Elephas maximus indicus: one gene and its partner. The protein of the gene in region 1 purifies or fractionates together with the protein of each later gene. This does not show direct contact. Links are inferred from orthologs where the notes say so. Each region holds a gene or a part of one and is shown on either strand. Other genes may lie near its edges. The genes, in order: EYA4 and DCTPP1.

Region 1 (11,801 bases):
AATTGGTGTTGCATTCATCGTCAAAAAGAACATTTCAAGTTCTATCCGAAGCACAATACTGTCAGTGATAGAATAACATCCAGACGCCTACAAGGAAGACCAGTTAATAGGAGTATTATTCAAATTTATGCACCAACCACTAAGGCCAAAGATGAGGAAGCTGAACATTTTTATCAGCTTCTGCAGTCAAATTGATCGAACATGCAAGCAGGATGCATTGATAATTACTGGTAATTGGAATGTGAAAGGTGAAAACAAAGAGGAAGGATTGGTTGCTGGAAAATATGGCCTTAGTGATAGAATACTGGAGAACAAATGTTAGAATTTTGCAAGACCAACGACTTCCTCATCGCAAATACCTTTTTTCACCAACATAAACGGCAACTGTGCACATGATGCCAGATGGAGCACACAGGAATCAAATCGACTATGTCTATGGAAAGAGACAATGGAAAAGCTCAGTAACATCAGTCAGAACAAGGCCAGGGGCCGACTGTGGAACAGACCATCAATTGCTCATATGCAAGTTCAAGCCGAAACTGAAGAAAATCAGATCAAGTCCACCAGAGCCAAAACACAACCTTGAGTATATCCCACCTGAATTTAGAGACCATTTCAAGAAGAGATTTGACGTGTTGAACATTAATGACTGAAGACCAGAGGAGTTGTGGAATGACATCATACATGAATAAAGCAAGAGGTCATTGAAAAGACAGGAAAGAAAGAAAAGACCAAGATGGTATCACAGGATACGCTGAAACTTGTTCTCAAAAGTTGAACTGCTAAAGCAAAAGGAAGAAATGATGAAGTAGAAGAACTGAAGATTTCAAAGGGCAGCACAAGAAAACGAAGTATTACAAAGACATGTGCAAAGACCTGGAGATGGAAAACCGAAAGGGAAAAACACATTCAGCGTTTCTAAAGCTGAAAGAACTGAGGAAAAAATTCAAGCCTCGAGTTGCAATTCTGAAGGATTCTATGGGGAAAATATTAAGTGATGCAGGAAGCATCAAAAGAAGATGGAAGGAATACAGAGTCACTCTACCAAAAAGAATTGGTCCACATTTAACCATTTCAGGAGGTAGCATATAATTAGGAACCGATGGTACCGAAGGAAGATGTCCAAGCCGCTCTGAAGGCATCGGCGAAAAACAAGGCTCCAGGAATTGATGGAATACCAACTGAGATGTTTCAACAAACAGATGCAGTGCTGGAGGTGCTCACTCATCTATGCCAAGAAATATGGAAGACAGCTTCCTGGCCAACTGACTGGAAGAGATCCATATTTATACCTATTCCCAAGAAAGGTGATTCAACCGAATGTGGAAATTATGGAACAATATTGTTAATATCACAGGCATGCAAAATTTTGCTGAAGATCATTCAAAAGTGGCTGCAGTAGTATATCAACAGGGAGCTTCCGGAAATTCAGGTTGATTTCAGATGAGAATGTGCAACCAAGGATATCATTGCTGATGTCAGATGGATCCTGGCTGAAAGCAGAGAATACCAGAAGGATGTTTACTGGTGTTTTACTGACTATGCAAAGGCATTCGACTGTATGCATCATAACAAATTATGGTTAATGTTGGGAAGAATGGGAATCCCAGAACACTTAATTGTGCCCACAAGGAACCTGTACATAGATCAAGAGGCAGTTGTTGAGACAGAACAAGGGGATACTGATTGATTTAAAGTCAGGAAAGGTGTGCGGCAGGGTTGTATCCTTTCACCATACCTATTCAATCTGTATGGTGAGGAAATAATCCGAGAAGCTGGACTATATGAAGAAGAACGGGGCATCAGGATTGGAGGAAGACTCATTAACAAACTGCGTTATGCAGATGACACAACCTTGCTTGCTGAAAGTGAAGAGGACTTGAAGCACTTACTAATGAAGATCAAAGACCACAGCCTTCAGTATGGATTGCACCTAAACATGAAGAAAAATCCTCACAACTGGACCAATGAACAACATCACGATAAATGGAGAAAAAATTGAAGTTGTCAAGGATTTTATTTTCCTTGGATCCACAATCAACAAACCATGGAAGCAGCAGTCATGAAATCAAAAGATGCATTGCACTGGACAAATCTGCTGCAAAAGACCTCTTTAAAGTGTTGAAGTGCAAAGATGTCACCTTGAAGACTAAGGTGCGCCTGACCCAAGCCGTGGTCTTTTCAATCGCATCATATGCCTGTGAAAGCTGGACCATGAATAAGGAAGACAGAAGAAGAATTGACCCCTTTGAATTGTGGTGCTGGTGAAGATACCACAGACTGTCAAAAGAACAGACAAATCTGTCTTGGAAGAAGTACAACCAGAATGCTCCTTAGAAGCAAAGATTGTGAGACTGTGTCTTAACATACATTGGGCATGTTGTCAGGAGGGATCAGTCCCTGGAGAAGGCCATCATGCTTGGCAGAGTACAGGGTCAGCAGAAAAGAGGAAGACCCTCAACGAGGTGGATTGACACAGTGGCTACAACAATGGGTTCAAGCATAACAACTATTGTAAGAATGGTGCAGGACCAGGCAGTGTTTTGTTCTATTGTGCATAGGGTCACTATGAGTCAGAACCCACTCGACGGCACCTATCAACAACAGCAACTACATTTTAGGATTATTTTTACTATCATCCAGTGTTCTGTTTTCTTTTTTGGTGAATGTAGTGTCTTATTCCTTTTTTTTTTTTTTTAAAGCCTAAAGTCTGTTCCTACTAAAATGATGGCATAGTTTTTCCCCTCAGGCTGTTTTTAAATGAAATTAAAATAAAAGTTATGTTTTGGATTATAAGATCCTCGAGGGCTTTGTTTGTTTAATTTGATTTACACAGAACTCAATGCCAAAGCAGTGCCATGCACATTTGAAAAATAAACAAATAGTAGATGATAACGGCAGCACCATCTCGATCCAGAGGGCTTGGTTAAGGGAATTGCTAATAAGTGAGTCTTGTATTTCCACTGATTTTCACTTTAAAGTCAAAGATTTTTTTTCTCCCCTCCAAAAAATGTCCTTTCTCAGATTGGGTGGAACATTTATGGCTATTCTCATGGCCTGATTCATGTTATGCAAGACCTGCTGGTGTTTTTGAATCGCTTCTAGAATTTGGCAGCAGATTTCTAACGACAGAATTTCCCCACAAGTCCTTTCTTTCAGCCTCTTTGAGTTTCTCCCATTGTTCTTTTTCCTTTCTTATCTTTTTGCCTTTTGTTTGTTTCTTCAGGGTCTTGTAGAACTTTGTTGCAGTACCACACTTGGCCAGTAGATGCTGCCACTTCATGAGGTGTTACAGTCGAATAGCTTCTTGTTCAGTGGTTAACTCAGAACCCAGTGCCGTGGAGTCGATTCCGACTCAGAGCAAAAGTGTGTGTGTGTGGGAGGGGTGAGGTGGGGAAGACGAGAGAAGGGAGAGGGAGGATAATGCTAATTGGTACCATCTTTAGAAGTGTAATTTGTTTTTTTAATCATGTGCTTATGAATTATTTGAATCTTACCAGAAGTGTTTGCTTTGATAGTATGAAAAACAGTAAAAAAAAAAAAAAAAAAGAAAAGAAAACCAGTTTTAAAAAAAGACACCTGAGCTTCTGATACTTCAAGTAAATTTTAGGCAAGGAGATCAATAATTCAATACACACAGAATTTAAAAACTAATACCTAAAACTATCTTGAACCAACATTTTTCTCCAATAATGGGAAAGAAAGGCTGAAAATACATTTGAAGAGTCTAAGGGATATATGGAAACCCTGGTGGCATACTACAGCTGCTAACTAAAGGGTTGGCGGTTCAAATCTGCCAGGCGCTCTTTGGAAACTCTAGGAGGCAGTTCTACTCTGTCCTATAGGGTCGCTATAAGTCGGAATTGACTTGATGGCACTGGTTGGTTGGTTTTGATCAGAAGGTAGTAATAAGAAAAGGAATAACTGATATTGTCATACAATTGAGGGTTTGTGGATAACTTCTGCAAATGTATTCTTATGCAGATGTATAAAAAACTGTGGTGCAAAGTAACTTGGAAAGCAAGATCAATGTTGCTGGAAATCTAATAGTTTTAGAAGGGAATAAAGAGACATAGTAAAAAAAACCTATATTTGTGTTAATAGTATGATGTAGTGAATTATAGATTTTTATTTTATCCAAATTATGCATCTCCCCACCTTTATTTATCAGTAAAACTAACACATAATGTTTTGTAGCAGAATGAAATTAAAAAAAATATATGGTCTTATGAGGAGAGTATTAAGTTCAGCATTGTATTTAATTCTTAGGTGATATTTGCTATAGTAACCCCTGGTGGAGAAGCGGTTAAAGGGATCAGCTGGTAACCAAAAGGTTGGCAGTTCAAAACCACCAGCCACTCTGTGGGAGAAAGATGTGGCAGTCTGCCTTCACAGAGATTTACAGCCTCTGAAACCCTATGAGATCCCCATGAGATCACTAGGAGTCAGAATCAACTCAATGTCAGTAGGTTTATTTGCTATACCCACAGACCATTCTTAGGCACTGAATGATTCATAATACATTTAGGTAGCATATTTTGCCCATAATATGTTCCAAAACTAAACCCACTGCCATCAAGTCGATTCCAACTCCCAGTAATGCTATAGAACAGCGTTGAACTGCCCCATATGGTTTCCAAGGAGTGCCTGGTGGATTTGAACTGCCAACCTTTTGATTAGTAGCCGTAGCTCTTAACCACTATGCCACCAGGGTTTCCCTATAATATGTACACAGTAATAAAAAGAATGATCATTCTTCTGACTACTGCCACTAATAATAACACAATGGCTAAGAGTGGACTTTGGGGTTCCACAGAGGCTGGTTTGAATCTTAGTTCTGCTATTTATTAGCAAGTTGCCCCAAATTCTGAGCCCTCAGTTTTCTTGCCTATAAAATGTAGAGAATAAGATCTGTAAAATTAATTAAATCTGCTCATTGGTATTTTTCTCTTAAGTGTGTATTAACTGGCATTCCTCTTCAGTCCAGAATATGCTCTAGGCCATGCTCCGATTCCCCTTTGGGCCAAACCAATGCCAGACCCCTTCCTACCTTGAGAACCAGAAAAGGAAACGCTATGATTGGCAGTGCCCATGTCCTCTGAAATAAATATTCAGGAAAGAAGACACAGTGAGCGATGAGGGCCTCAAGAACACCCCTATCATTTTAAATTTATGACCCCACCTTTTCTGTTGCTCTTAATAATTGCAGAGTGATGCCCCACTAATTAAAAAATAAATTATAGCTGCACATATTCAATATTGGTTTTTGCTTTTGACCTTGACAGTCCTCATTCATGGTAGTTGCTAGCTGAAGTAGAAGATGATACCTTTTTTTGAACTTTTTTCACAATATAATTTAGTTGATAATATATTAAAATTACATTTTCTTTGAATGGCAGTAACTTCTACTGGTTAACTTGTGATCTCTTAGGCCACATCTAAAGCACTGTGGGTATTGTTTGTTGAATCATAGGCTTTGTGGTTAGAAATCTTGGGTTTGCCCTTGGGAAAGTTAGGTTTCTTTGGGCCTCGAATTCCTTATCTGTTATATGGACTTGAAAATAATAATCACGCAGAGTTGTGAAAATTAAACAAACTCACCTGTACCATAAGTGATCAGTACAATGACAACACTCAGCGAATTCTCAATAAGTTAAAACATTTTATTATTATGACAATCGAAGAAGAGGCTTCTAAAATTGACAGTGGGTTTTAGAAAAAGGGGATTAAATGGATGTGAAGTTTATGAATGGTTCTACTTTGCTGTGGTCACTGGTGTGATACACACACATGTGCATATAGAATATTAAATCCTGGATACATACATAATATATGCGCAGAAGGCTGAGGCATGAAATGTCATCTCAGCAATGTGCCTGGGGAAGCTCTGACGCTGCCTTGGAAGTCAGTCGTCACTGCCTGACCTTTGGCGTTTGGGAGGGATGCCTATACCTGCGCCCAGCACTGGAAGGGGCCCATGCCCTTCCCAGCACAGCCTGTCCTCAAACTGCTTACTCTTTTATAGCATGCATCTCCACGGAAAAGGCCTTTTCCTCGCGTCAGAGTGAGGTCTCCAGTCTGACGTGGGTTGGCTTTTATTTTACGTTGTTGCAAGTAGGCGAAGTTCCTTCTGTCTTCTCCCTCGGAGTAAGTGGAAAAGAGTCCGACAGGGGGCCCGCAGTGGCCCTCCAGCCAGGGACGTGGGTAGCGGGAGAGTTAGAGCAAATTCCGGGGACTGTCCCGGAGAAGCAGGTGGGGAAAGCGGCGGTTCCCTGGTCCCGGGAAGGGAGCGCGGCCGTGGGTCCCTCCCCTCAGCCATCAAGCTGCCGCGGCCGGCGCCAGGCGGGTGGGGGTAGGGTGGGGTGGGGGTGGCGCGGAGAGCGTGGAGATTACGGCGGCGCCACCGGGGACGCCCGGGGCCCCGAGGCCCCGAGGCCCCGAGGCCCCGGGTGGTCATCATTCGAGACCACGAACGGTGACAACAGGCAGTCACCCGAGGTCAAATAAAAAGGAGTGAGTCCCCCGTGCGTCGCCGCCGCCCGCGCCCCGGCTGACTGTCCCGGGGCCCCCGGTGGCCTCCTGTGCCCGCGGGCGCCGGCGGCGGCCCTTCGGTCCCCGCCCCGCGCGCAAGTGCGAGGCTGCCCGCGGCGCGGCGCACGCTCGGCCGCCACGGTTTCCGAGCACAGCTTCGTTGCGAGTCCACGTGAAGTTGTCGCTCGCATTCGAAGGGGAAGGGTGCTGTGGTCAAAGCTGGGGTGTGACGACTGCGGCGGCTGGGGCGCGCGCTCTTTTCCTTTTCTTCTACTTTTTTTTTTTTTTTTTTCCTGTCGTCAGTCAAGAGTTTTGGCTCCTCTCCTTCCCTCCACCCCCTCGGAGCCGGCTTCTACCCCCGCCCCGTTGCTCCCCGACTTGTGAACGCAGTTTGTTGGGGGGTGGCCGAAGGGGATGTCCTGTTTTCATCAGAGGCACAGCGCGAAGGGAAAACTCGGACATAGGAAGGAACAAGAATAAGTACCTAAATAGAGACTCGCGGATCTGCAGCTGGGACAGACACTTGAACTTCAGTATCCCGAGGCGGTCCGGGAGGCGGGAGGTGAGTGCGCCTTTCTTCTGACACCCTGCCGGGAGCTACAGGGAGGGGGGAGGACGGCCAGGTGCGGTAACCCCTAACTCTGCCGGAGAAAGTGCGCACGGCTCTGCCCGGGCGCCGAGCGCCGGGGTCGGAGGACACACTGCAGGACGATGTGCAGGCGCCAGAGTCCCCCCGGGCGGTCGCAGGCGGAGTACCCCACGCTCTAGGCCCTGCCAACTGAGACTGCACCGCGCGCTACGTCTTGGCGAACCCCGCACCCAAAGAGGGCTCTCTCCGAGCTGCGTGTCCAGCGCCGGGCCACAGCTAAGCCGGCGCGGAACCGGGTCGGCGGCCCCTCACCGTCCAGCGCTCCGCTCCTACCTGCGCCCCGAACCCGCCTCGCAGAGGATCGCGTACTAGGGTCTCCCCTGCATCCTTCTTGTGACAATATGTTGTGATGACCCCCTAGATTATCAGGCGTAAGGATGCGGACCCAGGGCCCGGTGGAGGGAACCAGGCGCCTGGGTTTTCCGATGCTTGATGGATTTGTACGTTCAGTGCTTGGGCTTGAAACTCCAGACACTTACAGGCTTTTAAACTGCAGTAATCCCACTTTAATTGTTTTCTGTGTGGCGTGGACCGACTGTCTCCTGGAGTTTGCCAGGGTCCTTGAAATTAGAGGCGCCTTTTTTTGTCAGAGGAGTAGCGTTCATTGGCTCGGGGTACGGATGCCATGGAGGGATTATACCTTCTCCAAACGAAGGGACCTGGCTGGAGAGAGTGGATTTTCTCTCGTTTCGCCTGCTGGGTGTAGGGTGGTTGTGGGACTCGCTTTTTAGCGTTGCTAAGCCTGGTTGGAAAGTAGACGGTGTGTATGCTTGTTTTATTCTGCGCCACCCAGGAACCAGAATTTTCGTTTAATAGCACTTAAAGGATTTCCGTTTCTTTGCATACGATATTCGGAACAACTCGTAGCTTTTGGAAAATTTGTGGAGGGAGTCCCTTGGCAGAGCAGTGGCGAAACCGGAGACCGCAGTTTAATTTTTGTCATCGCTTCCCTAGATGGAGTGGCATGTCTCCCCTCGCCACAACCACCCTGTCCAATTTCTTGACCCGCGAAGGCTAATTGGGCTTGTGCTTTGTGTGCGTGTGCGTGTGTGTGTGTGTGTGTGTGTGTGTGTGGTAGGGGCTGGAGGGGAGTTGTTTGGAGACGTCTTCGTTCCCCTTGCCCCAGGCGCCGCTTCTCTCGACTCCGGGAGCAAACAAGAGCGAGTCATTCATGAATCTTCACCTGAGGGCAGTCCAAGAAGGTGCAGGTCCTTCTGCCTGTTCTGGCAAGGTGCAAAATAGCGCCTGGGCGTGTGTTTTGGTTTCAGAACCATTCCACGTGGAGCACCTCCGTGTGCGTGCGTGTTGTGTACTTGATCTGCGAGGAGGTAACAGGAGTCTCGTGTTCAAACCCAGTGGGCCATTGGCCATTAATTTGCTTTCCTGGCTGTCATTACAGACGCTTCCAAAATCTGATACTTAAGAGAACCAACAGGTTAGGTTTCACATTAAGAGCTCATACCTAACAGTTTTCTTTCTCCCTTACCCCTTTTGGCTTGGCAGCCTGAGATCAACGTAATTGATGGAGCGAAATATATCTTCTCGAATATGCCATTTCGTTCCTTTCCTCACCAGCGGCCACTTTCTGGACTCTTGAAACGTTTGTCAGTTTCAGTGAGGGCTCCTACGGGGCTTAGGTGGGAGTCTTAGGAGAGTTTAACAACCGGGGACTGGGCATCGACAGCTTCTGAAGTTTCATTTACATCTACGCGACTGACAGTATTAAAAGTTGGCGACAGGTTTCTAATTGTTGAGTTGTTTTTGTTTTTAAAACTTCAAGACAAGGATTGTACTTGATAACCTTCCCCAAGTAGAACTACTCAGTGTTTCTGAGCAGAAACACTGCCTTTTTTTTTTTTTTAATAAGTATTTTTGGCAAGCTTATACCTGGAGAATCAACTGGGAAGGGGGGTGGAGTGAGAATTCTAAAACAAAATATTTGATAAATAGAATTTTAGAAGACTGCATTCAAACACATTTGTGTATTTTTACAAATAAAATTATAGCAAGAAATAAAAAGCGGTGGTAACAAGAGACAAACTGTTTTGTGTAGGGCTAGATTGCCAGAATCCGATTTTTATGGCAAAAATACCAAATGCAGATAAAACTGCACACACTTTTACTGTTGATTGTAAACCATAAAGAATAGTTTGTTCCACCTGATTAAAAGTTGTGAGTTATTCAAAGTTAAAACCTTGGACAGTTGTGGCTTTGAAAGTTTTAGTTAGGTGAAAACTGTTCTTTTTTCCCTGATTATTAGGGAGATGCCATTTTCTTTCATGGTGAAGTTTTAAAATCAGTGTGTTTTTCAAAAGCCTGTTTTCTTTTGTAAATTACCTCAAAATAATATGCTTCAACCTTTAAAAAAAATTTTAAAGGGCATTATAATTAGAAGTTGTTTCACAATTATAACTGGAATAAAAACATTTATTCAACTTTCTCTTTTTTAAATTAGTATTTATTTTATTGAATATTAGAAGCTTAATTTCTCCTTCCCAAAATGAAAATTTTCATATAGGTATAGATTCATAGCTAATATTTATTTTAAGTAATGTGTTCACATTTAAAAATTAAAAAAAAATTGCAGATTCGTATGAAAAGAGTTTGGTTCGAGAATGATCATTTTTATTAAGAAATACAGATGCCGAATTCTAAAGGATTTCTAGAAGCTGTTTGGAAAAAAATTATCTTTGCATAAAAATTTCTGTTTGGGAAACTGGCAGATGAGTGATTTGTCAGTTTGCTGTAATTTATTTTTTTCTATAAGTTTTTTTAAAACTTATTTAAAACACTTATTTTGGTTGCAAAAAAGAAATATAACTTCTCCATTTCTAAGAGTTTCCTTTTTGTTTATGTTGTGATTTGGGGTGTAAATAAATTTTACATAGCCACGGGAAATACAGTGTCCAGTTTCATGTTTTGAATCTCTGTTGCAAGCTCCAAATAACTGATGCCGTATCTAAAAATATATTTATGTGACTTGGTTTTTAATTTTTAAAAAAATTTTGTGCCCTGGAATTAAATTATCCAGTTTTTAGAAAATTAGAATGGATAGAAAAACCATAACCATTGTTATAAAAAGTTAGGTTATTGGCGATTCTACATTTTAACTTTCAAACAATGAAATTAAACTTTTTTCACCCAGTGGAAGCTCACACTTTTTTATGTAGAATTTGAGAAGAGGGGAGATAATCTTTTTCAAGACTTAGAGAAGTGTTAAGTAATTTAAGAATGCAAGTATTTTTTATGTTTTTTCATTATCTCTTTTTTTCTTTCTATTAGGTAGATGCAGGAACACTGAACATTCAGTAAAAACAGGCCCCCTTTCTAAGGAGTTTATTCACCATAGTTCTGCATTGCAGCTGCTGATCATATTTCATGGAGCTGTTAAAGCACTTAAGACCTAAAATTAGGTACTGTCTGGTTGTAAATATTTCAGATCACTCATTTAAGAAATAAATAGAAAAGCATGCTATCAAAAGTAGGGGATGTTTTGAATCCTCTCATTGAAGAGCTGAACAAACCTCTATCAAACACCTTTTTTCTGTCTCAGTGAGAATATAATCACCACAGTTTCTTTTTCAAATGGATATTATTCTTATATATTCTAAACTCTTATAATATGTCTCCCTGTAAAGTCTCATAAACTAATTGTATTCAGAAATACGGTGGGGGGGGATTTTATTACAATGGTTACTAGGTGAATGAAATCAACACCAGGAGGAATGGAATGGCATTGCAGTGTACCTGCCTCTCATGAATTTTTCCCGGTGAGCTAAGAAACAACATTCCCTTTTAGGCATTCGCCCTAGAGATGGGTCAGAGGCAACGGTGCATTTAATTGAAGTCTGTAATACTGGATTTTGCAGTTTGATGTATTTTAATGTAGGGACACTGCATATTCATTAAATGGAACCCCGAGCCAAATTTGGCGTCATTTAGCTTGAACTTGAGTGGAAGAAAATAAACAAGAATAACACATTCAAAAGCAGTGCAAGCAACTTGGATTGCTTTTAAGAGGATTGGAGACTTTGTAAACATTACTGTCACTTTATAGTGCTTATGGCACTGCACATTCATATATGCCTTGATGATACACCATTTTAGTCTTGAAGTTTGCTATTTTTGCCATATTCCCAGCCATGTTTTTACTAGTATGTAGAGAGGTTCTGAAAATGAGTACCCCTATTCTTATTCCCCTAACACCTTCCCTTCTTCCAGAAAAAGAGATGAAACTGATTAATTTAAAAATAGAAACCATTTTGAGTTATCAAAACCACATTTATGTGGTGGTTTAAAACAGTCTCAGAGTGTACACCTCTGTCTCACTGTAACCTTTTCTGTCATTGAAAGGTGCTAATTGATCTTAGTATAGTTTGATATTTGAAACCTTTCAGTGCTGGTCTGGCCCTTTTCTCACCCTGAGATTTCAGTGCACAGCTCTGATGAAGAAAGACAGCATATTAAAATGTCAGGACTTCTCATTTTCTTCCGATATGAAATATTTTAATACGACATATCCGTAATTTAAAAACTTTTATTTGCACACAGTAAGTAGATTTGTCTTAATGTACTTTTGGCCTCTGTGGGGGAAAAGCCCAGTATTATCATGTTAGGATGT
Region 2 (11,801 bases), on another chromosome or scaffold:
TGTCAGTTTGATCTCATTAGATAAATCTTAAGAGCACAATGCTGAAGGCAAACATTCTTTTTTTTATTGTGCTTTAAGTGAAAGTTTACAAATCAAGTCAGTCTCTCATACAAAAATTTATATACACCTTGCTATATACTCCTAATTGCTCTCCCCCTAATGAGACAGCACACTCCCCTTCGCTGTCCCCTTTTTGTGTCCATTCAGCCAGCTTCTGCCCCCTCTGCCCTCTCATCTCCCCTCCAGACAAGAGATGCCAACATAGTCTCATGTGTCTACTTGATCCAAGCAGCTCATTCTTCACCAGTATCGTTTACTATCCCTTTTTCGAGTCCAATCCCTGTCTGAAGAGTTGGCTTTGGGAATGGTTCCTGTCTTGGGCTAACAGAAGGTTTGGGGACCGTGACCACTGGGGACATTCGAGTCTCAGTCAGACCATTAAGTCTAGTCTTTTTACGAGAACTTGGGGTCTGCATCCCACTGATCTCCTGCTCCCTCAGGGGTTCTCTGTTATGTTCCCTGTCAGGGCAGTCATCAGTTGTAGCTGGGCACCATCTAGTTCTTCTGATCTCAGGCTGATGTAGTCTCTGGTTTATGTGGCCCATTCTGTCTCTTAGGCTCATAATTACCTTGTGTCTTTGGTGTTCTTCATTCTCCTTTACTCCAGGTGGGTTGCGACCAATTGATAAGGCAGACATTCTTTACTAATTAAGCTAAACTATTTTTTTTATTATTATTGTTTGGTTTTAAGAAGACATCAGGGGAGTATTTCTGCTTTAAGGTTTAAAAATTATCTCAGGGCAACAGTTTCAGGGATTCATCCAGTCTCCATTGCTCCAAGAAGTCTGAATTCCATGAGAATTTGAAATTATTTTCTGCATTTTCCTCCCTTTGGCCCCTTTTAATCAGGATTCTTCTATAGAATCTTTGATCAAAATGTTCAGAAATGGTAGCTGGGCATCATCCAGTTCTTCTCGTCTCAAAGCTGGACAATGAATAAGGAAGGCCAAAGGTGTTGATGAAGAATATTGACTATATCATGGACTTCCAGAAGAAAGAACGAATCTGTCTTAGAAGAAATATAGCCAGAGAGCTCCTTAGAAGCAAGGATGGCGAAACCTTGTCTCACACAGTTTGGACATGTTATTAGGAGGGACCAGTCCCTGGAGAATGACGTCTTGCTTGGTAGAGTGGAGGGTCAGCAAAAGAGAGGAAGATCCTCAACAAGATGGACTAACACAGTGGCTGCAACAATGGGCTTAAACTTAGCTACAATTGTGGGGATGGCACAGGACCAGGTAGTTTTTCGTTCTGCAGTAGTTAGGGTTGCTTTCAGTCAGAACCAGTTTGATGGCACCTAACAACAGCATAGCAAAGGAGGCAATTGTTCATGGAGGCAATTAGCCACACACCCATTTTCTCCTCCTGTTTCCGACTTTCCTCTGCCCCTGTTGCTCCAGGTGAATAGAAACCAATTGTTGTACCTTTGGTGGCCACTTGTAAGCTTTTAAAGCCCCAAGCACTATGCAACTAGGAGATAGAACAGAAGCATTAAACACATTATTAGGCCAATTAACTGGGATGTCCCGTGAAATCATAACCCTAAACCTCCAAACTGAGAAACCAAATCCCATGGTTGTACATAAGCAGCCTTAGGAGCTATTCTTTTGTTGTTGATGATGTTGTTTTGTTGTAAATATATCTATCACATAGCTTTTTCCAGTTCAACTTTTTACAGATGTATAACTTATTGACAGAAATTACATTAATTGGCTGTGCAACCCTACCCTTAACTCGATTTTCCCATCACTGTAAACTGAAACTCAATAGTCTATAAGCAATAACCCCCCTTTCCCCTCCCTACCACCCCTGGGAACCACTAATAAACTTTGGTCTGTATACATTTGCCAGTTCTTGTCTTTTCATATAAGTGAGGTCATACAATGTTTGTCTTTTATGATTAACTTATTTCACTAGCATAATACCCTTCAAGCTCCATCCACATTGTAATATGTATCAAGATTTCATTTCTCTTCCTGGCTGAGTAGTATTCCATTACCATGATCTCTTGCATGGACAACTGTAATAACTTCCTTAACTGGTCTTTCTGCTTCCTCTTACTCTCCTCTAATTCATTCTCAACACAGCAGCTAGAAAGCTCATAAATATAAAATATGATCATATCACTCCCCTGCTTAAAACTCTCCAGAAGATTTTCATAATACTTCAAATAAAATCCAACTTAAAATCCATGGTTGACAAGGCTCCTTTTGATCTGGCCTCAGTTTACTTCTCCAATGCCATATGCAACCATTATTCCCCGTCCCACGCTGGAATTCTTTTTGACTTTAGAACATGCCAAGACTTTCCATTGGTTGCTTTCTCTACCTAGAACTTGATTCATCATGATTTTTGCTCAGCTTAAATGTCACTTTCTCAAAGGCAAGTATCAGAAAACCCAACTAAAAGTAGATTTCACCTATTAAGAGATTCATTATCTTAAATAACCAGAACCCCTAGTTCAGGCATTTCTGGAGTTGTAAAGGAAGTGGCTTGGCAATGTTATCAAGGATCCAGGTCCTTGCTGATCTGCCAGTCTCAGCCTATGGCTAGCTCTCCTCACATTCCTATCCTCACATACCAACATCTAAAGTTAGAAACATCCTGTGTCTTTTTTTTTTTTTTTTTTAAAGAATTAAGAACCTTTACCAGAAATCCCCACAGACTTCTTCTTACTTGTCATTGTCAAGAACTAGGTCAATGCTCACTCATAAACCAATGGCCAAGGCAATGAGACCACAATGATTTGTAGAACGAATTGGGGAGGAGTGGACCCCAAAACAAAATCATGGTTCTGTAAAAATGCAGAAGGGGGAAAGACAGTTAAGTAGGTAACCAACAGTATCTATCACATCTTCCCTGGACCATGTAATCTAAAAAAGAAAAAAAAAAAAATCTAAAGTTGCCCCCAATCATTTTTCATAGTGTTTAAAATACCATAACATTTAAAATTTTCTTCATATACTTATCATTCCAAAAACCAAAACCAAATCCAGTGCCATCGAGTCACAGCGACCCTAAAGGACAGAGTAGAACTGTCCCATAGAGTTTTCAAGGAGCACCTGGCAGATTCAAACTGCCGACCCTTTGGTTAGCAGTCGTAGCACTTAACCACTACGCCACCAGGGTTTCCGACTTACCATTATCTGAGGCAATATACTGAAGCATGCTTAATAACACAAACTCTGAAGTCAAACTGCCTAGATTTGAAACCTGGCTCTACCACCTTATTAGATATTGATATTTTTGTTTGTTTAATATCTTATTTATTTTTGGTGGCAATATACACAACCAAACATACACCCACTCACAATTTCCACGTGAACAGTTCAACAACATTGGTTACGTACTTCACATTGTATCGTCATTCCATCTCTATCCAGATTGTTTCATCACCATTAATTTAGGCTCTCTGCCCCTTGAAGTTCTCATCTGTGCTTTAGATTAACTGTTATCAGTTTACACTCATATATTCTTTATAAGAGCGCCATGCTTGAGGCAAAACCCATTGCCGTTGAGTCAATTCCACTCATAGTGACCTGATATGACAGAGTAGAATTGTCCCATAGGGTCTTCCAGGAGCGGCTGGTGGATTTGAACTGCCAACCTTTTGGTTGGCAGCTGAGGTCTTAACCACTGTGCCACTGGGAGCCCCGGTGAACAAAAAGTTCAGCAGTTCGAATCCCGCAGCCACTCCTTGGAAACCCTATGGAGCAATTCTACTCTATCCTTTAGGGTTACTATGAGCCAGAATCATCCAGACAGCAAGGGGTATGCTTGAGGCAAGTATTAATTGGGCTAAACTGTTGTTTACTTTAAGAATGGCTTCATGGAGTAGTTTAGGATCTAGATATTGATCTTGAATAAGTTACTTTACTTCTCTCTTCCTTATCTATAAAATGGGAATGATAATATTACCTAACTCACAGTTTCTGTGAGGACTGTATAAGAATATATGCAAAATGCTTAAAACAGCTACTCCAGTTCCAGTTTATTCCTGAGGCCGAACTATATCCCAAAGGACATTCTTGTTCCTTATGATAAATTCCCCTTTCTTGTTCAAACCAGTTCAAACTTGTTTCTGTTGCTTGCATTCAATGTAATGGAACTGTATGAATTTATCTCAATGTACTCATTGTTCTGTTGATGGCCATTTGGCTTATTTCAATTTTTCACCATTACAAACGAGACTGCAATAAACTTCTTGTATGCATATACTTGTATATATATATATGCACTATTTTCCCTCGGGGAAACCCTGGTAGTGTAGTGGTTAAGTGCTATGGCTGCTAACCAAAAGGTTGGCAGTTTGAATTCACCAGGCACTGCTTGGATACTATGGGGCAGTTCTACTCTGTCCTATAGGAATTGACTCAACAGCAGTGGGTTATTTTCCCTCGGGTATATACCTAGAAGTGGAACTGCCACACCTTGGGGATCTTAATTTCTAAAATCGGACTCTCCACCATTTCCTTCACTTTCTTATTCTTTCACTTCCACCAAACTCCAGGCCTCTTTAAACTCCTGGAGAGCCAAGATAGTGGCCCTTAGTAGACAAGTAATGATTTACACCACTAAACCTGTTCTTGGGTTTTATCTCTGCTCTTTCCATTAACAATAACTCAGCGGTTCTTAGATTTGAAATAACAATTCCACAGTTTGTCAGCTCATAAATCCTCTAATGTAAATGAGCTTGGGGTCTTCAGAGAACCAGAAGAAGGCTTTGCTTGCTGTGTGTAATATGTGGGGGGCGGTCAAACAGTGACTCAAGAGGCTGGATAGGTGGACCACAGCAGGCCATGTGTTCCAGGGCCCTGTCATCTACACTGAGGGCAGGGAGGAGGGCCGATTGATTTCTTCCCTTAAGGCCAGTAACCTGAGCTAAGTCCTTCCAAACACAGGAAACAGCTGGGGTAGGGAACCGAAGTGGGACTAAAGGCCTGGGTCCTAGTCCTGTCTGACCTTGAGCCGCTCTTTCCTCTCAATCTCTTCCAAATAGTGTGGTGGAGGTCTTGAGCGGGTACTCCGTGTCCGTAAACCCTGAGAGATCTGAAACCAAAAAACTGGTTGCTGTCAAGTCGATTCCAACTCATAGCGACCCTACAGGACAGAGTGGAACTGTCCCAAAGGGTTTCTAAGCGGCGGCTTGTGGATCCGAACTGCTGACCTTTGGTTAGCAGCTCTCCATCTCTGGGATTCTCCACGGAGCCCTTCATTTCTGAGTCCTACTTTTCTGGAGTTCCCCACACATGCCCCCTCCTATTTTGCTTTGGCGCCATCTGGCGCTCACAGGGGTAGTAATGCGCCTACGCTCCCACTTCCCCCTTTTTTTTTCCTCTTTTGTCTCGTCCCGTTGTACCTGTATCTTTAAGATGCCCGGCCAACAGGGAAGGATTCGAGCGCGGTGCTGACAAGCCATCTCTAGAAACTCCCTCAGATTGGTCCAGCCCGGGTAAGGGGGCGGGCTGTAGCAAAAGCTACATAAGTCATTGGTCTTTCCTCGGGCTCCGCCCCATGAAGCAATCGGGAACGCCCGTGATTGGTCAGGGGCTCTTTGGGCTGGGCCCTTGGTGCATGGTTCTACGGTACTTTTAGGAGCTGCGGCGGGGTGGGCGGCATGTCTGGTGTCGGTGGGGACACGCATGGGGGAAAGGGAGGGGAGGGTGGTGTCTGTGCCGGCCCGTTCAGCTTCAGTTCGGAACCCACGCTCGAGGACATGTAAGCAGTTGTTGCCCATCCCAGGCTAGGGAGAGCAGCTTTCTCCCTCCTAATGGGGGAGGGTCCCTCCACGTGGTCGGAAAGAAGGCCAGCAGCGGCGCTAGCGGCTGCTGGTTGACCTCGGGCGAGCCTTCTGACCTCATTTGCAAAATGGGCGCAGCAGTGCACACCTGAGGCAGGGGAAATTGGGTGACGCTCCGTGAGTAATACTAGGATCATCCTTATGCCCAGCCCTGGGGAGATACCGGAGTCGGACACTGCCTGTGCCCACCGAGAGTAGGGGGTAGGACAGGGGCAAATGAAATGCTGAGAAGTAGGAGATACTCTTTCTTGCTGGAGAAAATCAAGAAAAGGCTTCTTAGGGGAAGCGGCCCTGGTGCTGCGCTCTGCAAGATAAGTAGAATTTAGAACCACGTTCCAGGTGGAGAAGATTACAGAAGCTGCAGCAGGAGGTGGAATATTGGGGAAGAGGGTGAAGTTTGGCTAGAGTTTAGGGACGCACCATTTTATAGATGAAGAAACCAAGTCTCACAGAGAAGAAATCACTTGCCCAAGTCCATCCAGGGAATTAGTTGCAGAATTCGCTGATGCCCACGTCCCCATTACTGCCTTGGCTCTGTTTCTCCTCCCTGGGACCCTGGGCTTCCACCCCTTTGTCCTATTCCAGCCGCCGCCTCCATGCTGAGTTCGCTGCTGAACGAGACTGGGACCAGTTCCACCAGCCTCGGAACCTCCTCCTGGCCTTGGTGGGGGAAGTAGGGGAGCTGGCAGAGCTCTTGTAAGTAAATGGAACGCTTCCCGGAAGAGGTTATGCGGGGGGGGGGGGGGGGAGCATTTATTTGATTATCAAACAGTCATGGGTTCAGTTTCTCCTCCACAATCTCAGGCTGTGTGCGTGGTACTAGGGATACAGAGATGACTCATTCAGTCCCTGCCCTCTAGGGGCGTCCAGTCTCCTGGGACAGAAAAGTATGAAAACAGCAAGGCTGATCCAGGTTTGAGAAGAGGGGGTGGCAACAACTTTACTTCTTGCCTCTGGGAAGGAAGAAAGGAAGGTGGTATCCTCTAGAAGACCTGCCTGTGGCATTCTAGAGAGGGAGAAGTACTTTTGCACAGTTAATGAGGCTGGAAAGGGAGAATCTGATACAACTTTAGTGTAAAGAAGAGCAGAGGTTTGTATGTTTTGTTCTGTGGTGTGTCTCAAGTGTCTGGCATACAATTAAAGCACTCAGTTATCTATCGAGTGAGTGATAGAGCTGTGGAGAAGAGGGGTGGGAGAGGAACCCGGAAAGATAGGATTGGACTGGTAAGTGATAGAGGTTGGGCAGGGGACCTGACCTAATGTGGGTTGTAGAAAGACCACTGTGCTGCAGTGCAGACTGGATCACAAAGAGAAGGGGGTCTGGGAGACCAGTAAGGAGGATGGTATAGACCAAGCAAGAAATGGTGAGGCCTGGACCAGGGCAGTTACTGGGGCTGGAAAAATGAGGGCACAGGTATAAGTGTGTGGAAACAGAGGGCAAGCCATTCATTCATTACAGATGTATGAGCATCACCTGTGCGCTAGGTCATCTAGCCTCAAGGGGGTCTCGAATAAGACAGGCACAGTTCCTACCTTCACGCAACTGACGTTTTCATGGGAGGAGACTGACAATAATTCAACTAATTTAAAAAGATCTGGAATTGTAACAAATGCTGTGAGGAACATAAAAGGCAATGAGAGAAGGTAACTGGGAGGAAGAAGGCTTTTCTGAGGAGGTGACATCTGAGGTGAGATCTGAACAACAGGAAAGAGTCCGCCATGGAAAAGGATGGGGGGTGGGGCATTCAAAGTAGAAGGAGCAGTAAGTGCAAAGGCCCTGTGACAGCATGGCATGTTTGTGAGACAGAAAAGAGTGGCTTTAGGTGAGGAGGGAGAGCGGGGGGTGGGGGTCAATGACATTTGAAGAGTCAGGGAGTCAGGCAGGCAGGGCCTAGGGGACATGGTTAGGGGTGGATTTTACTCTAAGCACTGTAGAGGTTTAGCAGGAGAGGGATAAAATGTAATTTGTGCTTTTAAAAGATGGCACAGTGCAAGAGTAGAAGTAGGGAGATGAGTTCTGCGGTAGTCCAGACCTGAGGTTTGGTCACTCTAACAGTGGTAGGGCTGGAAAGAAGTGGAATTGGGTCTCAAAGCTGTGTCTGAACAAGTGAAATGTTCTCCTTTCTGCTTCTTGGCTCAGGTAGGGGACACAGAGGTCTGGGTGGATCATCTGTTGAGGTCTCTTCCTCACCCTCACTTGGCCCAGATGTGTTGGATTGCCTTGGAGGAACTTCTTGGGGGGGGGGGGGGCGGGTGGTGTGTGTGTGTGTGTGTGTCTGTGTGACTGTGACTGTGTTTATCCCTGCAAGGACTGAGGTACTTCTGAGAGACAAGGAGCCCATTGTCTTAGCTAGCATCTTTGTATGTCTGTCTGTGTGTTCTTCTCCCCAGTCAGTGGAAGCCGGATGAGGAGCTTGGACCCCAAACCTGGCCTACCAGGGAGCGGGCAGCCCTTCAGGAGGAGCTTAGCGATGTCCTCATCTATCTGGTGGCATTGGCAGCCCGCTGTCGAGTGGATCTGCCCCAAGCAGTGCTCTCCAAGATGGACACAAACCGGCGACGTTACCCAGTCCATCTGTCCCGTGGCTCTGCCTGCAAATATACGGACTTGCCCCATGGGTCTGTCTCCGAAGACCAGGTGGTAGGGCCTACAGACCTCACCTGTGAGTCCACGGGCCAGGCCTCCACCTAGACACGTGGGCACAGGACGTGCAACTCAGCACAGAATCTGAGAAGCAGAAGGTAGCCTGGTTACAGAACTTTCTGGTCCTTTCTTAACAGATCATGCGCCTGGAGGCCCCACTTCCTGAGGTCTGAGGCCCAGGGACCTCTGGAAAACAGCCTCCTGTCTTCTCTCCCAATAAAAGTTTTCAGCAGCAACCTCTGGTTTCTTCCTGGGGTCACTGGGGAGGCTCTATTTTCAGCAGGTGCTGGAGAGGGGCACCAGGGATGTGTCAGCCCCTTAATCCCCATGTTTCTCCATTGTCCCTCCTACCTGCAGGGCAGAAAAACCTAATTTCTAGCAAATTCTAGTGCCTTCTCAGTTATGGGCTTATAAAGGAGGCTGTAGGTAGTACTGGAAACCCTGGTAGCATAGTGGTTAAGAGTTTGGCTGCTAACCAAAAGGTCAGCAGTTCGAATCCACCAGGTGCTCCTTGGAGATCCTTTGGAGCAGTTCTACTCTGTCTTCTAGGGTCATTGAGTTGGAATCAACTCAGTAGCAATGGGTTTGGTTCTTCTTTTTGGCTATATAGTATTGGTTAAGAGCCCAGATTCTGGAGCCAGGCAGTTTGGGTTCAAATGCCATCTTTGACACTCATCTTTCTGTGCCTTGGTTTTCTCATCTGTAAAATGAAAGTAACAGTACCTACCTGATAGCTGTGTTACTACACGCAGAGTGTACAGGACACACTTGGCATATAGTAAGTACTTTGTGAGTTTGCTGTTATTGTTATCATCTGTTTGCCTTTTCAACTCAACTTTCAGGGGCCCAGAGCAGAAAATGCCCACAGCTAAGGCAGGTGGGTTAAGGCAGGCCTTGCCCCCCAGACCGCAGCCTTGTCCATTGGGATCCCAGTCCTGTATGATCCCTCTACCCTTCTCCCTTGATTCCCAGCACCAACTGGGGCCAGATCTCTTCCCTTGGGCTTGGGCCCATTTGAAAAAGCAGAGACCCCTGCCAAAGCCAATTTCTTGTTCCCCTTCTTGGCCTAAAGATAGCATTGGGTGTGCGTAGTTTACCTAGTGTGACCTTAGGCACATCCTTTTCTGAGACTTCTGTAGCCTGCCTCCACAGGGTGGGGTGATACAGGGGGAAAGACCTCTGAAACACTTACAGGACTCACGGTCACTGACTTGCTGCCCGTCTGTTTCCCCATTAGTAAAATGAGACGTTCCCCTTTACTGGCCTCACTCCTCTTACCTCTCTTAACCAATGATCTCTATTTGTACTTCCCAGGTACAGAAGAATCCATCAGATGGGAACTGTTTCAGCTTTGGGCCCCAAACCTACCTTTTTTCTTCCTCTTGTGATAACAGAATCCTGTTCTTGCTGATCTCTGATTTCATCCCCTCTCCCTTAATCAGCTTCTCTCCCTTTTCACTAGCCCTTCCTACCAGCACGTTCAAGTCTGTTCCCTACTGGCAAAACAAACCCAACAAATTCTCTCCATACTTTTCCCAGCCCTACCTCACGAAAGGCTTGTCTACGCTCCTAACTGCTTGCTCATATCCATTTATGCCCTAACCTACTCCTGGCTGGCTTTCACCCCCACTCCTCTATTGAAACTACTGCCATTGCTTTCCTGTACACATGACAAACGCAGTGACACCAGAGCAGCATTGGACTGAGCTGACCACTCATTAGACACTTTCCACTCCACATTTCCTACCTCTGGCTGTTCTTTACAGACTCTTTTTGGGTGCTCTTCAGGATCTAACGTCATGCACTGCAGGCCTGATACATCCAAGCTGTTATGGTCCATTCATCTTACACTCAACATGTTCAGATGGGGGTCTAACAACTGACCCCACTTCTGTTCCAGTCCTGCCCCTCCTTCTGTGTCCCTGTCTTAGTGATACTGTCCTGCAATTACCCAAGCTAGGCAATGAAGTCAGCCCCATCTCCTTTCCCTCATCCCCAGATACACTGTAGGCTGCTACAGATGCCAGCTCTTTAATTGGACAAATCCATCCCTTCCTAATCCCTCAAGGCTTCTTTGCTGCCGTGGATCCTTTAAACTTGGCTTCCAAGGCCCCCAGTGGTTTATCTCCTGCCAAACTCCCTGCTTTAGGTCCCCACATCCCACCCCAGGGGATGGCTGCAAGTTCAGTTTGGGGGCTGCCTCCATACTCCCCCAACCCTAATACTCTGGACCTTCAAGACCCAGCTTAAACATCATTTTCTCTAAAAGCCTCCCTAGACTCCAAAACTGCATTGGAGATCCTCCTATCCAATTACTTCCCCCATCAGAGCTCCAATGCACTAGACTACCGTTGCCCGCTGTCCCTGCTCTGCCATTCACGTTTGTCAATATGGAGATAAAAGACATACCTTAGGATGTTTTGAGGGTGAAGATGAGCAAATATATTTAAATGAAGCACAGCGTTTAACATAGTGCTATAAAGTTTCTACTACTGTGTCACCATCCGTAGACAGCTCCATAAGGTTCAAGCTTTGCAGAACACAGAGCCGTTTGTAACCAAGAGCCAAGTGTTGGATGACCCGGCCCCACACACACACACACACACACACACACGTGCACGCGCACACCCTGCCCCAGGAACCCTTTGGGGCTTAATCCCCCTCCTAGCTCCCTAACTACTCAAGTCACCTAAGCCTTGGGAAAATGCCAGCCTTCCTCCTTTTCCCCCCACCCACCTCATTCACAGGCACGGGTGGGGTGAAGATATAATACTTTATTCACTAACACGGCCAAAGAAATACGGTGAGGGGGAGATGGGCAGTTCCCAGGGGCCCGTCAGGGTTTCTCTCAGTTCCAGGGCAGCCAGGCCTTCCCACTTCCCCAGGCCCCTCCCTAGGAGTGTCCACGTTACTGCTGCCTCCAAGTCGGGGCTCCATCATGCCCCTTCCGAGCCAAACGCCCACAGCCCTGCGGCAACAGGAAGGCGGCTCAGCTGCCCTCGCACTCGGGACAGCGCTCTGTGGCAGTCGCAGCCGTGGCGCCAGCGGGTAGCTTGAAGTCCCGGCCGCATCCGGCGCAGATAAACAGGCGACGCCGCATGTGCGCGCGCCGGTGCCGGATGAAGTGCGAGCTGAGGCGGAAGCGGCGGCCGCACTCTGAGCACGGGTAGGGCCGCTCGCCAGTGTGCGTGCGCGCATGCTCCGCCAGGTTGGAACGGTGGCCGAAGCCGCGGCCGCACACAGCGCAGCGGTGCGGCTTCTCGCCCGTGTGCACCCGCTTGTGCTTGGCCAGCGCCG

What was found.
Region 2: the proteins of EYA4 (region 1) and DCTPP1 purify together in Homo sapiens (affinity purification with mass spectrometry; 3 studies listed by BioGRID and IntAct, with this or other methods). This does not show direct contact. The link is inferred for Elephas maximus indicus from reciprocal best matches to the Homo sapiens genes EYA4 and DCTPP1.

The regions. Positions count from the first base shown.
Region 1 is NC_064819.1:202,610,000-202,621,800, forward strand, and holds the start of EYA4 (eyes absent homolog 4), read left to right. Parts: upstream 1-6,211; 5' UTR 6,212-6,252; intron 6,253-6,740; exon of another isoform or gene 6,741-7,093; intron 7,094-11,801. UniProt on the Homo sapiens protein: Tyrosine phosphatase that specifically dephosphorylates 'Tyr-142' of histone H2AX (H2AXY142ph). 'Tyr-142' phosphorylation of histone H2AX plays a central role in DNA repair and acts as a mark that distinguishes between apoptotic and repair responses to genotoxic stress.
Region 2 is NC_064830.1:89,690,940-89,702,740, reverse strand, and holds DCTPP1 (dCTP pyrophosphatase 1), read left to right. Parts: upstream 1-5,672; 5' UTR 5,673-5,677; coding exon 5,678-5,778; intron 5,779-6,445; coding exon 6,446-6,556; intron 6,557-8,251; coding exon 8,252-8,552; 3' UTR 8,553-8,734; downstream 8,735-11,801. Other genes in the region: ZNF771 (zinc finger protein 771), read right to left, coding at 11,494-11,801. UniProt on the Homo sapiens protein: Hydrolyzes deoxynucleoside triphosphates (dNTPs) to the corresponding nucleoside monophosphates. Has a strong preference for dCTP and its analogs including 5-iodo-dCTP and 5-methyl-dCTP for which it may even have a higher efficiency.